Linked DNA regions of Lytechinus pictus. The protein of the gene in region 1 purifies or fractionates together with the protein of each later gene. This does not show direct contact. Links are inferred from orthologs where the notes say so. Each region holds a gene or a part of one and is shown on either strand. Other genes may lie near its edges.

Region 1 (7,581 bases):
ATTGCAGGCCCTTAATGCAATATTACCCCTTATCAAACTACAATATAGGGGGGGGTCAATTTGAGCCCCCCCCGGACAAATTTCGTCACTACGCCATCGCGCAAATTTTTTTGAACGCACCGCTCTCTGACTTTTTACTTTCAAGTCTTGCGCATCTTTTAAGACCAAATTTGCGATACCTGGGTGCGCAGTTTCAAAATCACGCAACATTTTGTACATGCATGTCAGACCAAAAATTGCTCAAAAACGTGATTGTGTTTTTCAACCAAAAATCATAATGTATGACTATTTTTACTTTTGTTGGTTCAAATGGATTTATTTTATGCTATGATCGCAAGAGTCCCTGACAAAGTTCATCGGCAAAAACAATAAAAAACAAAGGTTAAAAAAAACAAAGAAATACAAATTTTAAAAACAAAAAATACATAAGAAATTATATTTTTTGCGGAAAAAATATTGATACTCTCACCAAAAATTAGCATTCTACTAGCTTAATAAATAGAGTTAAAGGCAAAAACATTAAAAAAAAAATTTAGGGCAAATTTAATTTGCTTATTTGCATAATTAATTAATTAAAAAATATAAACAATTAATTGTTGTCATGTAAATTTGATGCAGAAGTACATGAAATTGCTGATAGTACACTTAATTGCATCATTTGCATGTAAAATCAAACACACACAAATAAGCGGAATTCTACTACACAGTAGGCTTGCATGAGTGGCTATGTATACTAGAAAACATAAAGTTCAACAAAGCCACTTTTAATATTTTGAACTTGAAAAAAATAACGCAAATAGGCTAAAACCATGTAATATTACATTTGTAAGTAGTTTTAGTATAATTCTTAATTGACCATGCAGTGTTCCAACTTACACCATACCATGTTCCAACTTACCCCGTATATGGGGTAAGTTGTTGTTGTTGTTGTTATCTTGGGTTTTGAGGCGCGTGTCATTCAGATATGAATATTTACGCCAAAGTTGGAACGCTTGTGATAGTCTTGTTCAAGGTGGACTTTTTCAGTAAACATAGAGTTGAACATTTTATGGCGTACATTTGAAGCCCTTAGATATATGCTTCAAGCTGATATGTTGTTTCTCAAATAAAATCTATTTGGATTTTACAGCCATTTTGTCAAAAATGTTCCAACTAACAGCCATTTTGTCAAAAGTGTGGGACAACTAACCCCGATCTCCCCTACCAAGTGTGATATTTTATGCGAAAATTTCACTTTTTATTCAAAATTTTGTCCATGTCGCCGGATGATTTTGTAGTGTGGGAGTGAGTGAGTAAATGTGTGGTGTACATGTCTAGAGTGAGTTGGTGATTTCAGTGGTGTATTGCTGAACAGCCACACACCGACTCTTGGCCGAGTACCAACCCAGTTTTACTCTACTTGTAAAATTGAAAACAGAGGTATTCTTATTTTGTGTAGGCCTCTAGATCTACATGTCTCTTTAAGTGTATGATGGTGGGCCCCAAGTCTGCGCACCTAACAATTTGAGTTAAGATTTAACATGAATTTCTTCTTATTTCACAAAATTTTTCAGTTAATAATGTTCCTTATATTATTAAGAGTAAGTGTACAAAATTTCTCATTAAAAAATGAAAGAAAATATAGGATTTTCTTGGAAAAACCTCGGGCAGTCATTTTCAGATTGAAAAAACAAATGGTACCCCATGTCTGCACACTCATTCACTTTGCACACGATTCGGGGATTTTGATGAGAAAGGCTGCATTTTGAGGCCGTCACATGAAATGCCCTAAATTTATTATTTTTCCACCATTTTGAGTCGGATTTTTTTACAAATACCTGTCTATGTATTGCATGTGTAAGTTCGTGCTCATTGCGTATCTTCTTTTACTAGAATCGCGCAGATACGCGTGTGCGCAGACAAGGGGGACTGCGCAGACTTGGGGGAACTTGCCATACATACGGCTGAATTTACTTTAAAAAATTGATGATCTTTTACATGTGTAGCCCTGGCAGCCGCTTCCAGTGCACAGTATACCCAGTTGTTGTGTGTCCGGACGATCAATTTTAGAAAGTCATTTGGAAAAATTTACAAGGGAAGTTTTATCAATTTTTAGTACAAAATGTCAGGAAATATTATAGAGAACAAAATAGAAGATGATTTGTACAACTATTGATTTCGTATTTTTAGTGTAATCCAAAGACAAAAAAGGCTTCAAAAATATATTATAAAGTGTCCGGACACCCGACCCCCCATCCTACTTTCTGGGAAATTAATCCTGATAAGGGTGTGTTTAATGTCGATTTTCAAATTTAAACAGCAACATGATTTATGTCTGAAAACTTGATTACCGAACACACACGATCAGCGGTGCACTGTTAAGTGTCGAAAATATATGTTGATCGTAGTTAAATTTCCCGCTTTCGTTAGCGCAGCTTTAGTGCGCATTTTGACCCATCACAAGAAAGAGAGCTTTCTAAACTTTGTTGTCCTGCCTACTCGCAGACGCAGTCACACACTTTTTCTACACTCGGAATGTGCGTCATGCAGCCTATTAACAGTAACAGTAACAACTAAGCAAATCAAAGCAACACTTTAACAGCAAAGATTACATACTGGCATACCCCTGGCTTCCAGATAAATCCTTAATAATCGAAGACCATGTCAATTTGACAAAAAACAAGTTAACTCTAGGCCTACTGTAAATAGCTAAGCCTGAGGACTGACACAATTTTGATAGTGTGGGACTACACACAAGATTTGCTATTTTGGGTGTGAGCGAATTTCCTGCTCAACACTACTCAAACGAGTCATCTTTCCGATAAACGAAATGCTCTTATGACTTTAATGACATGACAGATCAAATAATCAAATTCGATTGTGTCATCGCATACAAACGATTTTCACTCGTATCATCAAATTATCAACTTACAAATGTTTATTGTTATCATCATACGGGGTTTTGAGATCGTCTTGGGACGCCATAATTGACGAACCCTCTTCACTTATCGTCCGATTGAGATGGTTTCCTGAAAAGTTCGACCAAAATACACCTCCAAAGAATCAAATTATCCCGTTGATCAATAAAACCCCTTCCTGTCAAATTCGAGAAGAGTCTTCATCGATGCCGAAATCGTGATGAAAAACCGACGATGAAAATCTTGACTCGCAGAAGTCCCTGACAGTCCATTCACACACACGTACATGTACACAAACGCTATTTAGCCATTAGTTCCAGGAAGTTCGAGAAGTCCAATAGAAACTGTGTGTGTTATTTCTGTCAAACTTCAATACAGGCCACTTAGCCAAAATAGCACGGCCGTCTATGACGTGACGGGTTTCATGGGTAAAATAGAGGGCGTTATACACATCACTTCGTGGGATATGTTTTTGGGAAAAACCTAAAAATATAACCAAGGACCGATTGTAAAAAAAAATAATAATAATAAATACGACCTTCCTGATCTTCACAGCAATATCTCGAAACCACTTCCTTACTCCACCTTTAAGAAACTGGTTAAACAAGATCTACATTGCCGTCAATGATCTCGTTGCACAGGGCATCCGTGCGAAGTCAACTCTCAAGTTCTGGATTGATCACATCCCATCCTCCAACAATCTCCTTTATCCGAAGACCACACATTCCCCTGTCATCCGTTATGCACTCATTGTCAGAGCCCAATTACTTTCTTCCACGTATCTTACTCAGTATCGCCTCCACACATTAGGAAAGTCCTCCACCCGTACTTGCCCCCTTTGTGCCTCATATGATGAGACAGTAGAACACTTTGTCGGATCGTGCTCCTCTCTTGATCACCTACGCCAAGACTTCATACACAGAGTCGAGGAGTGTCTCACTGCACCATCCACATTACCTAGACTTGTATACTGCTGAGGATCCACACCAATTTTCCTGTGCTACCCTATTAACCCATCAACCTGGTCTCCCTTCAGAAGTTAATTATAGTCTGCTCCTTAAATCCCTCTTTTTTTCTACATAAAATTCATGACTACCGCTCCAACTTGATGCTGAATCTGTAATTTACCGGACTGGGATTTGTTCTATTCGTATCTTAGAATCTCCAAAACAGTGGAGGGATCACCTAAGAGAGAGAGAAGGGGGAAGAGACTAAAGATACTGGTGCAGAGAAAATTGGAAAGCTATAAAACACTTATGTTATATTGGATGGCTCCGAAAGAGTATATTCCAAGAGTTTCGGCAAATATTCCACGAATCGCAGAATATTTCTGGTATTCCAAGTACTAAAGCCATCCAATATGATTATTATCATCTATCCAAGCATCTGCACTCTAACAGCAAATCTTGATATGTTATTTTACGAAGCTCTAAGCTGTAAATAGTATATGGACCAATTTTTTTAAACGCCTCTAGTCTTCAGAAGACTTTCCTCTGCAGTGCTGCAAAGTATGACGAATATTACCTCGAGTTTCATCAAATGGAATAGTGGTGTAGAATTTTCCCTTATGAAGATACAAGCCTTTTGGCGCGTGTGTTTTTAAACTCACGTTATTTTGCGAAACAAAAGTGTTGATACATGTATTTTGAAAACAGGCACATGAACCCCAAATTTTTAATGTTCCGGCACCTCTTTTGTATACCTTTGCCAAAAAACCATGCAAAATTTTGTAAAAAGGACATGGGTTTTAAATAAAATGCAGCATTTATTGTATACTCTGTAAATTTGTTATATAAATTTCTAATTTGTATGTATGTTTCTTTTTTTCAATTAAAGGTGTTACTTCTCTTTAAAGAGCAACCATGAATAGCAATATGAGTGGATTTTTCATCTTAAGTAAATAATTCTGAACTATAATGTAAAATTTGGTGACATTTAGATAGATTTTGACTGATTAATAGAGGTTTACACTCAACGTTGTGATGTCATGGGGTTTAGAAACCCAAATTATTATTATTGTGTATTTCTCGAGACCTTACAAATGCTTGGGTGAAGTTCAAAGCTCGATAGCAAAAAAAAACAAGTACATGAACTCATGTTATTTTTTGCATTTTTTGAATATTTAGGTGCTAAAATAACTCAAGTGTGCAAAATTTCATGAAAATGACATGGGTTTCATTTTCAACTGTGGAACGTCCTTAATGTATCGCTAAAACACTCTATATAGATGATAATTGCGTAGATTTGTCTGTGTATATACACAAACAAAAAAGTAAGTCCCCTAAATAAAATTGCTGTAACGTTTGAAATAATTTTGAGATAAAATATTTCGTAGGTAATATTATCACCATCATTCAGAAATTCCTGTGGGAAAATGAGATAGATAGATATAGATAGATAGATAATTGGTTTTATTAATAAAATCAGATTGATCGGTTGAGTCATGCATGAGTAATCAAAGATTGAACTAAAAATGACAATTTTCGAAAGTTACAAGAATCCTTTTTTCAGATCGTGTAAATACAAAGTTGGGCGGAATTCGTTTTTTGGTGAATTTTATGGTGCTGATGCTGTTTTACTATCCATCATAATTATAGCCAATCCACACACAATTTTGATAACGTATGTTCATGGTTGAGGGAACATCATTTTTTGTGCCGTATCATCATAGGGGTTTACGGTAGTATCCTCTATATAACTTTCAAATTAAAATTGTAAAATGTTAGTGCCCCCCCCCCCCTATTTCTCGGTCCCCTCCCCATTTAAGAAATCTGGATCCACCATTAGTCCATAAATTCAACTGATCCTGAGAAATTGTTAGGAAAAGCATGCATTTATGCATTATAAAGAGCATTCATTCCCAAGTTTTCAAGTGTGCTCACTCAACCATGCCTGTAAAAAGTTCGGGAAGTGTGTGGTGATAAAAATGATGGATGATAAAAACAACAGTGATTAAGTCACATTTGAAACAGAATTTGCCCCCATTATTCACTTAATAACCCATCAAAAGAGTCTGTGTCATTGAAAATGCCATTCCCCCTCGATGCGTGCTCACTCTTCCATAAATATACAAATGGATTTTTGCATAGATCTTTTCTGCCCATAGGTATTGCCAAATTACATTGCTTAAGACAGTTTTGAAAAAAGTTCCATTTTCAATAAGGGGTTACTTATTCTTAAAGGACAAGTCCACCCCAACAAAAAAGTTGATTTAAATAAAAAGAGAAAAATCCAACAAACATAACACTGAAAGTTTCATCAAAATCGGTTGTAAAATAAGGAAATTATGACATTTTAAAGTTTCGCTTAATTTCGCGAAACAGTGTTATATTCACATCTTGTCGATATGCAAATGAGGGGACTGATGACATCACTTACTCACGAATTCTTTTGTATTTTATTATATGAAATGTGAAATATTCAAATTTTCTCCCTGTTGTCCTGTGAAAAGAAGATTAATTCCTCCCAGAACGTGTGGAATTAGCATTGTTTGATACTATATGGTTCAATCAAGTTGGTACTTATTGTCAAATCTGTAAAAAATGAAATATTATATAATTCAAACAATGAAAAACAAAAGAAAAAATGAGTGAGGGATATCATCGACTGTCTCATTTGCATGTCATTAAGTTGTGCATATCACTGTTTTGTGAAAAATAAACGAAGTTTTAAATGTCATAACTTTCTTATTTTATATCCGATTTTGATGAAATTTTCAGCATAATGCTTGTTTTATTTTTCTCAATTTATTAAAATCAAAGTTTTTTCTGGGATGGACCTTTAAACATAATTATGCACCCATAAACACACGAAACGCGGTATATCTATAAAAATTGCATGAGTTGAATTAGAATTGTATTTTAAAAAATCGCGAAAGTTGTATAAAAAGCTGTAGTTGCTTTATAACTTTGCGTTGAACATGTTGAATAAAAATATCGAACGATATATTGATAAAATCTAAAAGTTATTAAACATTGAATAAAACGAGTTACGTGACCGCTATTTTCGCGCCAAAGAAATCTGAAATTATTCATCATTGAATAAAAATGTTGCGCGCTGTTTCGTGCCGTGCACAAAGCTGGCTTCTGTCACGGCGTATACGTCTGTCGAAGAAAATGGCCTGCCCTTGGTCAGGGTTGGTGGAGGAACATCTCCGAATCTGCACAGCAAAAACTGTGGTGTTAACATGCAGGTGTACATAGAGGACCACATCAGTTATTTTACACCGGTGGTAAATTGACAGTGTTATAGTTTAACACACCTATAGGTGTTATACGACACCTTTGGTTGTTATATTAACACTCTATGGTGTTATGTTCAATCTATAAGGTGTCATTTTAACACCCCAGGGTGTGGTCCTCTATTAACACCAACTGGTTTTAACGCCACAGCTTTTACAGTGTGGTGTATTGATGACCTTATGGGGGCAGTTTAAAAGTGAGTAGTGTACCGTATCTTTGAGCGTACAGTGTTCACCGTATTATCAAGAACAAAATACTGTAATTTTGTTGATTTTATTTTGTAAAATTTGACGATAACATTTTTGCGTTGCCTCGTCATGGCTCAACATCGACGAGCGAGGCTTAAAGGGATGCTCCGGGCTGAAAATAGTGTGATATCAACAGATAAAGAAAAATCGGACAAACAAAGCACTAAAGATTTCATCAAAATCGGACAAGGAATA
Region 2 (7,734 bases), on another chromosome or scaffold:
AAATATATTGCACTCACAATATATAAAGAACCCACTCCTAGACGCTGGTTTTTTTTTTACAAAGAGTTGCAATTGATCAAACATTGAAACGATTCACAGACATACAGAATATAAATTATGAAGAGCTCACGTACACAGAAGTTACTCTTTTACAACGGTTGCGTCTTTGTTACATGAATTAAACTTGACAGCCAGTTAATATTTTACCAGAATAACACCAGGAAATGGTTGTATTACAATACACACCCACTTGTGTGCACTATCTATAAATTGCCATGGTATGAAGTCCATAATAATTTGTTGAATCCTTTCCAATCTTTGTAGACAATACGTGGTACCATTGCCAGACGTGGTACCACTGCCAGACGTTGTGTCATTCTTGGCTTCGCACATTCTATTGGTGCATCATACATTGTTTTTGCCAACTTCACAGGGCAACTAATGATAAGTCTGATCATCAGTGTAAACATTTATCATCATAAATGCTACCAACATATCCATATGCCATACAAAAAAGCATTAGCAATATGTTGATAATAAAATGTTTTCCCTGAAGTGCAATCTTCAAAGGAACATCAAAATGTAGAAATGAAAGATCAGGAACAGTTGACATTGTTTGTACTCATGAATCATTGTACGTTTTAAACAAGGAAGTTATAAAAAAAGAAAGGAAAATTATACAAAAGAAAGAAATTGATTTCCTTTCAAAATCTTTCACCACGCACAATTTTAAATTACATAACTTCTCATTTCCTTTGTCCTGTTATTTAGCCAACCTAGATTTAATTTGAATAAAGAAATCTTGTACAATAATGTAACTGCATTCCTCTTCAAAATAATTTCTTCATAACTGATATAATCTCTCCCATAATCTTTCCAATAAGGATTCCAATGCAAAAATAGCAACATGCACAAAATAAAAGGGTTATATGAACAAAACACAACACTGCATCATGTAAAGTTCTCTGGAATAGCAAGTGAAAAATGAAACTTTATCAATTCATTTTCATTCTCCAGGAATTATTCACTTTCAAAACTTTCAAAACTTACAAAAAATAATAGTTAGTGTGTAGATCTATGCCTCCAAATATCACATCACTTTCAGCTCCTAACTGTCCATAAAAGCAAGCAAGTGCAATGTCCTCAGAAACTAGCTCAGCCTCTCAACATAGTTGATACGTCCCTTTAATCCTGACAGGCATCTCATACACAAACTCTCTCCTGCTCACTTCCACAAACTTCACCAATAGGCTTCTGTTACAACGTCCCATCAACCCTCGCGCTGCAGCAGTGACACTGACGGTGCTTTGGACTAGGCTGCCCCAAAGAGTGGTACCCTATGAATGGTATGCCGTTCAAAAACAGATCGTGATTCAGCAAGCGATCAGGACCAAAGCCCTCTGTGGCTGTACGTCACAAGTAAACCTCACCTACATGGGTCAACCTTGTTTGATTAATCATAAATGTAAACAGGCGACAACAGGAGCCCAATCACACTCCCCTGCACTGATTAAAAATAGTGTCAAGTAGAATAATATATATATATACCATAGGTTCAGACCATACTACAGTGTAGTTTTATGAATTGTGTGATGAATCAGAGATATCATAACTGTAAACAAACTTGTGCTATGATCCACTGCAGTGCAATGCAAACGCATGAAGGTGTGGGCTGTAGGGCTAGACGAAACACTCACCTACAGTACTTCAAATTCATATTCAATTCTCTGTAACCATACAAGTTGTGCTGTGAAAAGAGCCTAAACTATTTATCTGTTTGAAAGATAAGTTTGGGAAACATGTTCCTGTACAAAGACCAATGCAGGTTTAAAACCTAGGCCTATATTGTATTTATGTACGAGGCTTCCACGAGAAGCGAATGTGATGCAATAATGCAACAAATAGGTGCAATGCAATGTCACATCATCTGTATAAAGAATGCTTACATATCCCCTGAATTAAAATAAAAATTGTTTATCCTGTAACGAAATTTTCTCCTATTGCTCTGCAATTAAAGTACGATTAAAATGATCATACCTGTATTCCTGTATAGCAAACTTCCCTTTCTGTTTGATAAAACAAACACAGTGTAGCCTATTTCAGTTGAACGCTGTTGATCATACTAATTCCAACTTGTCCTCCCAAAAGTATCATATTGATAATTAATCACTATTTTGTTGCCATATATCAAGTCACTACACTGTAATAATGCTGAAGAAAAGTGTCCGGGATGCAGAATGGTCCAAGTGAAAATGCACTTCAGTGACTTCACAATAATATCATGAACAGATTCATTGCAGAACTATAAACGATCGACAGGAAATGACTGGAAGTCTGTGTGATTGAACTAAAATCTGTCACATGCCCACCCACCCAAAGCAAATTCACTGTCTGTGAAAAAGTTCAATAGCACAACTAGCCCACACAATGGTGCATTTCTATATTACCTATTTCGTCACAATACATGTACACAAAGGCCCTGAATATTGTATTTAGGTTTCGCACTTGACTGAAGTACAGAAAGTATTCAAAAAGATATTTTTATTCATTTCTATGTTATCTCGCATAACTGGTTCAGGGTAATTTGTCCAAATTAAGTAGGCCATTGCAATGCAGCCGAAACAGTTAAGTAGGCCATGTAACAAAACTCTAAGTATTGACTATTTTTTAATTTAGAATATTGGTACATGTTTTTTATACATCTTTCTCTCGGAGTGGTTTAGAAATACTGAAAAAAATGAATTGATAGGTAGTCCCGGAAACAATTTATTCAAAGAACCTGTATGAGTGAATTAGCAGTCATCACTATAATTGCAATTCCAGATTAATGGATCAAGATGACAATAGATGCTTGTTCCCTCGACTGACATGTACAAAATGATTATTAAAATTTGAGATAAAGTCTATACTTATCAATGTATTATAAACTAGATGTGTATTAACTTGAAAAGATTCAATCTAACTGGTATACCTTTTTAATACCTTTATCACCTTTTGCTGTTAACTCTGCAATATTCAAGTTCCAAAGAAAGTTCGCTTCAAATACCACAAAATTACATCCTGTGATTTCAAGCACATTAGTGAATAAAGACCTCTGACTTCTTGAATGAAGAAATGCCAGCAAATGATTCCCTCGTTAATACACCTGCCAAATCACCAAGAACAGTCTATCCAGAGGTATACCCCACATAGCTATAAATGTAAAATTCCTCTCCCACTTATAGATCAGGGAGGCTAACAGCCACAGACAAGAGACTTATGACTGTTTCCTGAGACGTCAAAGAAATGCCGAGCGGTGAGAGAGCTGTCTGTCGTGTGTCTGCAAGGAGAGGAGGAATCGACGTAGCTTCCGCGGTCGGCCGTTGCTGAACCAGCCTCAAATCAATGCAATTACGAGAGATTAGTTAGAGTCTGAGTGTGTGGGGTATTCCCTTGGTGATTGTGAACTGGTTCTGAAATAGAGCTGGGAGGAGGATCTAATGATGAATGCCAAGAATTAAACTGGAAATTAAGGGGTTGATCAAGCGGTTATGTGAACTTCTAATTTAAGACACTTAGAACTTTGTCAAATTGATACTGCTTTCAAGATTTCACATGCCACAAAAGGCCACTTGATTAACCCCACTCTCTCATCCCAACCCATTTCTCTTTGCAGTTTTGTAATCATAACACCTCTTTTGTGTCAATGCTGCACATTTAAAATAAGAAAGATAATGAACACATATATACTGCTTGCACTAGAAACAAGTAATAGTTTTTTTTTTTTTTTTTTTATAGTAGTGGCAAAAATATTGTAGCAATAGTGATACCAGTAGTAACCAGAGGTGTGAGTGGTCACAAATAAAAAGATCTGAAAAAAGCTGAAACTTGTAGAAAGTCTGAAATAGAAAGAGCTCCCATACTATTTGTACAGAGGAAAGCCAAAAATAAGCTGAAAATCAAAACGAAAAAAAATCTGAAATCAGATAAAAATCTGAACTCTCAAACCCCTGGTATTAACAATCGCAATCAGTATTAAGAAGTAGAAAGTAGTAAATAGTAGTAGTAAAAGTAGTAATCAGTAAGTATTAACTAGAAACTATAACATAGTAAGTAGGCCTGCTAGTAAGGAGTAAAAAAGGATACAGTAATAGGAAGCAGTAGTAAGAAGTATGTACTAAGTAAAGTACTAGGAGCAGCACTTGGTTTTGTTTTGTTTTTCGCAACGTAATTGTACTTGACTAATTACATGTATGCTCATAATAATAATGAAAATCAATGTTAATCATTTCAACAAGATATGCAATCACTGAATAAATGAAGTATCTTTCACACAGGTCTTTCTCTTTTTTATTATCACACAAGTATGAAGTTCATTTTTTTCATCATTGTGACTTATCACACGTTTCATCGCAAAGTGATAACTTGGTGAATAAAGCACCAATTGTATTTTTAGAGCCTGAAATGAGTAAGAAGGAAATATGAAATTTATGACTAATTATTATTGTGTGTGTGGAACTGAAAATGGAACCGGATGATGTCAGTGGCTGGCCCATTTCTCCAAATAAAGTAATACCATTTAATATACATTATGATCCATTAAAATTCCTTTGAATGTGAATATGTAATGTTCTAGGTATCTCACTGACCATGCATAGGTTTACTCCTCAAGTTAATTCCTCTGCTTTCAAGAATGAAAAAGTAAATACAGCATTTCTCCTTATCAAGAGATATCATATCATAAATATGATTCATCTCAAAAAAATGTTATATCACAGACTAAACATATTTAACATCCAATATATTTTGTGATAAGTTCATGGATATCCCATGATCATTCCTATTATTTTACATCCATAGTTCAACAGAATAGTGATATCACTGCACTTATCTATATGACTACCATAAAGTGAAACTATACGATTATGATCTTCTAAAATTCTGTTGAAAGTCACCTACAGTGTAGGCCTACATGGATCATGCACGTACATGTTTGATATTAGTAAAAATCGAAAGAAAATAAAAGGTCACATTTTTATGTTTCTCCAAATAAAGTGATATCAACATCATATATACTTCTACATAAAGAATGATATCATTCATAAAGTACATCAAACTTTGATTAATGATTATTGCAGTGATCATGAAAGGATTATCTTCCGGTGCAAAGAAACGAAACGGAAAGACAAAGTTGGCAAATTGTGGAATTAATTTTGAACAGGAAATTCATAATAATTTGTTATCTATTACTGGACAAGAATTATTTACGTTTAAAATCTGTATTAAAAATAACCTTCAGGTTGGTCATAAAATGAGATAATTATTCAGAATCAATGTCCAAATCATATCATATTTTACTATTTTCTTTTTACTCTGCATTCAAATAGATATAAAAAAGTAAAATGTAATATTCTAAAAATGTCAGACTAACATCACAGATTCAAGATTAAGTGTACAGAAACTTTTAATGAGATTCTATTTTTGATCCATCAAGATTGAAACTAAAAATGCAGTTACAAAATATGGTAATAAACACTCTGAATTTTTAAGTGGTATATAGCAAAAATTTTCTTTGTCGGCTGCCTGACAAAAATTTCAGTATTTGCATGCTATATACATGCATGTTGCTAATGAAATATTGCATGCATTGTTTCTAGTCAAAGCAGCAAGGTACATGTAGGCCCTATACCATGAGGGCCTGCGAGTTTCTGGTGGTATATATAGTATACTAAATCAGAAGACCAATTGTACATTATATACTTTATCATGTTTTTTCTCCCTTTCTTTCAGTTGTAAATTCTGCTTAAGAGTTAAGTTTGGGTAATTTGCAATCATCAACATTTTATTTTTTTTTAGTTTGGGTTTTTAATCGTTTTCTTCATATCGATAATCTAACTCTAATGAATTATAAAAGATTCTTTAAATACCACATGGACACTTAATTAAAAAATTTGAAGATAATTTGAGATCAATTAAAAGTGAAAACCACTTATTATTTTTTCTTGCTTTTAATCACCATGCCCTCTTATATGAAACATTTGCATGCACGCGATCGAAAAAATAGTAAAGAAAACAAACATTCTGTACGAAGCACCCACATAAATAGTTTCGTGGAAAGCGATAGGATATATAGCTTCATCTCAAACTTTCTTCTCTGTTTTAGGCTATACTTCCTGCTTGAGAACTTTAGCGGACGTGGAGGGTGTTCCTAGCTTCCTATCTCACTTTCCTATAGCAGCAGAAAGTCCATCTCTTACTGATTTCAATTAAACAACGTATCCTATTTAGCACTGTCGTGTGTTATTGATAGTATTCAATTGTATATTGGGTACTGGGTTCGGGTATAGCATCTGATTCAAATTATATGAAGCTTCTGTATAGGTACAATAATGTGAATACGTTGGGCTTATTCATTTTCCATTCAAATCTCACAACCAAACTCTTTGAGAATATTTGAATTGCAGACTTGAAGGTGAGGACATTAATACTGCCCTGTCTCAGTGATATTTTTATGTTTATTATAATAAAGGCCCTTTTGAACACTTATTTTACAAAAAAAAAGCAGCACAAAGATTATGCCTACATCCTGAAATTTTCAGCCCATGCTATCTTTCAGTAGCTGGTTTTATACAAAAAAAAAAGAATATGAAATGCATGTTATGCTATCTTGAAGTCTTTCAATAAATATATTCATTGATGTGAAGTAAATGCAAGGAACTCAGCCCTTTGCTTGATAACCCTAACCCTATTTCAAGTCAAGGTACAGGATATCCCAGCAAAAACGCAACTTGAATATTTGTGTTTGTAGCAACATCACCTTAAACAATGGCTACGTGATGATAGGATATTTTTTATAGTGGAAATCATATTCATTTTAATAGCACTACCCACTGTAGTATCAGCTGTTGTTGACATTTGCTGCTATTCATCACTCTTTGATGTGGCCAAGTTCAACACACTTTTAATCATGGAGATAGAAGTTTTCCCTCCATGATATAATGCATTGGCCACAAATACCATGGAACAAATTGAAAACTCTCCAGGCTCCTCCTGCATAATGATCCAGTCTGACCAGTCACACCAATGCCATTGACACCAATCCAACTGATGGAATGTCATTGGTAATAATGTAACAGCCTTGGTTGGCCTGGGGTCGGTTCCACCAGTGTGACTGAAGCACCTATGTGCAATCAATCTGATAGTACACCATAACATGCAAGCACAAGCTCCATTTATTGAAACATGTCCAAAGTGGTCTTAAGTTTTATTCTACCAGGACCCTGAATGGAACTGTGTACTTGACCTTCTTAAAATGACGGCAAGTTAGAACGTGAGGTTGCTTGGGCGCCCTAAAAACTTGGGTCAAATGTTGCCATCCGGTGCAATTGCCCACCACCACTTTCTAAAATAGAATTCAATTAAAAAACGTTGGGATATCTATCCTTCACTACATGATACAGAGGCGGCAGAACGTCAGGCTCATACAATGAAAGTGGAGGGGCACCTATTGTTTGGCAGGCAACAGGTGCCCCTCCACTTTCTTTAACCGAGCCTGATGTTCCGCCGCCTCTGACATGATAACTTCTTCTGGACTATTACATCAACTTTGACTAGGTATGGGTCGAGGGGAATCCCAGAAAAATGACCGGATCTCATTACAGGTACATGGCCATAATATCCATTTGTTTATCCAATGGCCTTCATGGTGATATGGATGACAGTAAATATTTCCTTGTTTTTGGATATAATCTGCAT

What was found.
Region 2: the proteins of crk-like protein (region 1) and rap guanine nucleotide exchange factor 1-like purify together in Homo sapiens (affinity purification with western blotting; 16 studies listed by BioGRID and IntAct, with this or other methods). This does not show direct contact. The link is inferred for Lytechinus pictus from reciprocal best matches to the Homo sapiens genes CRKL and RAPGEF1.

What each region holds. Positions count from the first base shown.
Region 1 is NC_087250.1:23,205,018-23,212,598, forward strand, and holds the start of crk-like protein, read right to left. Parts: upstream 3,312-7,581; 5' UTR 2,965-3,311; coding exon 2,912-2,964; intron 1-2,911. UniProt on the Homo sapiens protein: May mediate the transduction of intracellular signals.
Region 2 is NC_087259.1:23,035,439-23,043,172, forward strand, and holds the start of rap guanine nucleotide exchange factor 1-like, read right to left. Parts: upstream 3,324-7,734; 5' UTR 2,992-3,323; intron 2,367-2,991; exon of another isoform or gene 2,038-2,366; intron 1,845-2,037; exon of another isoform or gene 1,051-1,844; intron 1-1,050. UniProt on the Homo sapiens protein: Guanine nucleotide-releasing protein that binds to SH3 domain of CRK and GRB2/ASH. Transduces signals from CRK to activate RAS. Involved in cell branching and adhesion mediated by BCAR1-CRK-RAPGEF1 signaling and activation of RAP1.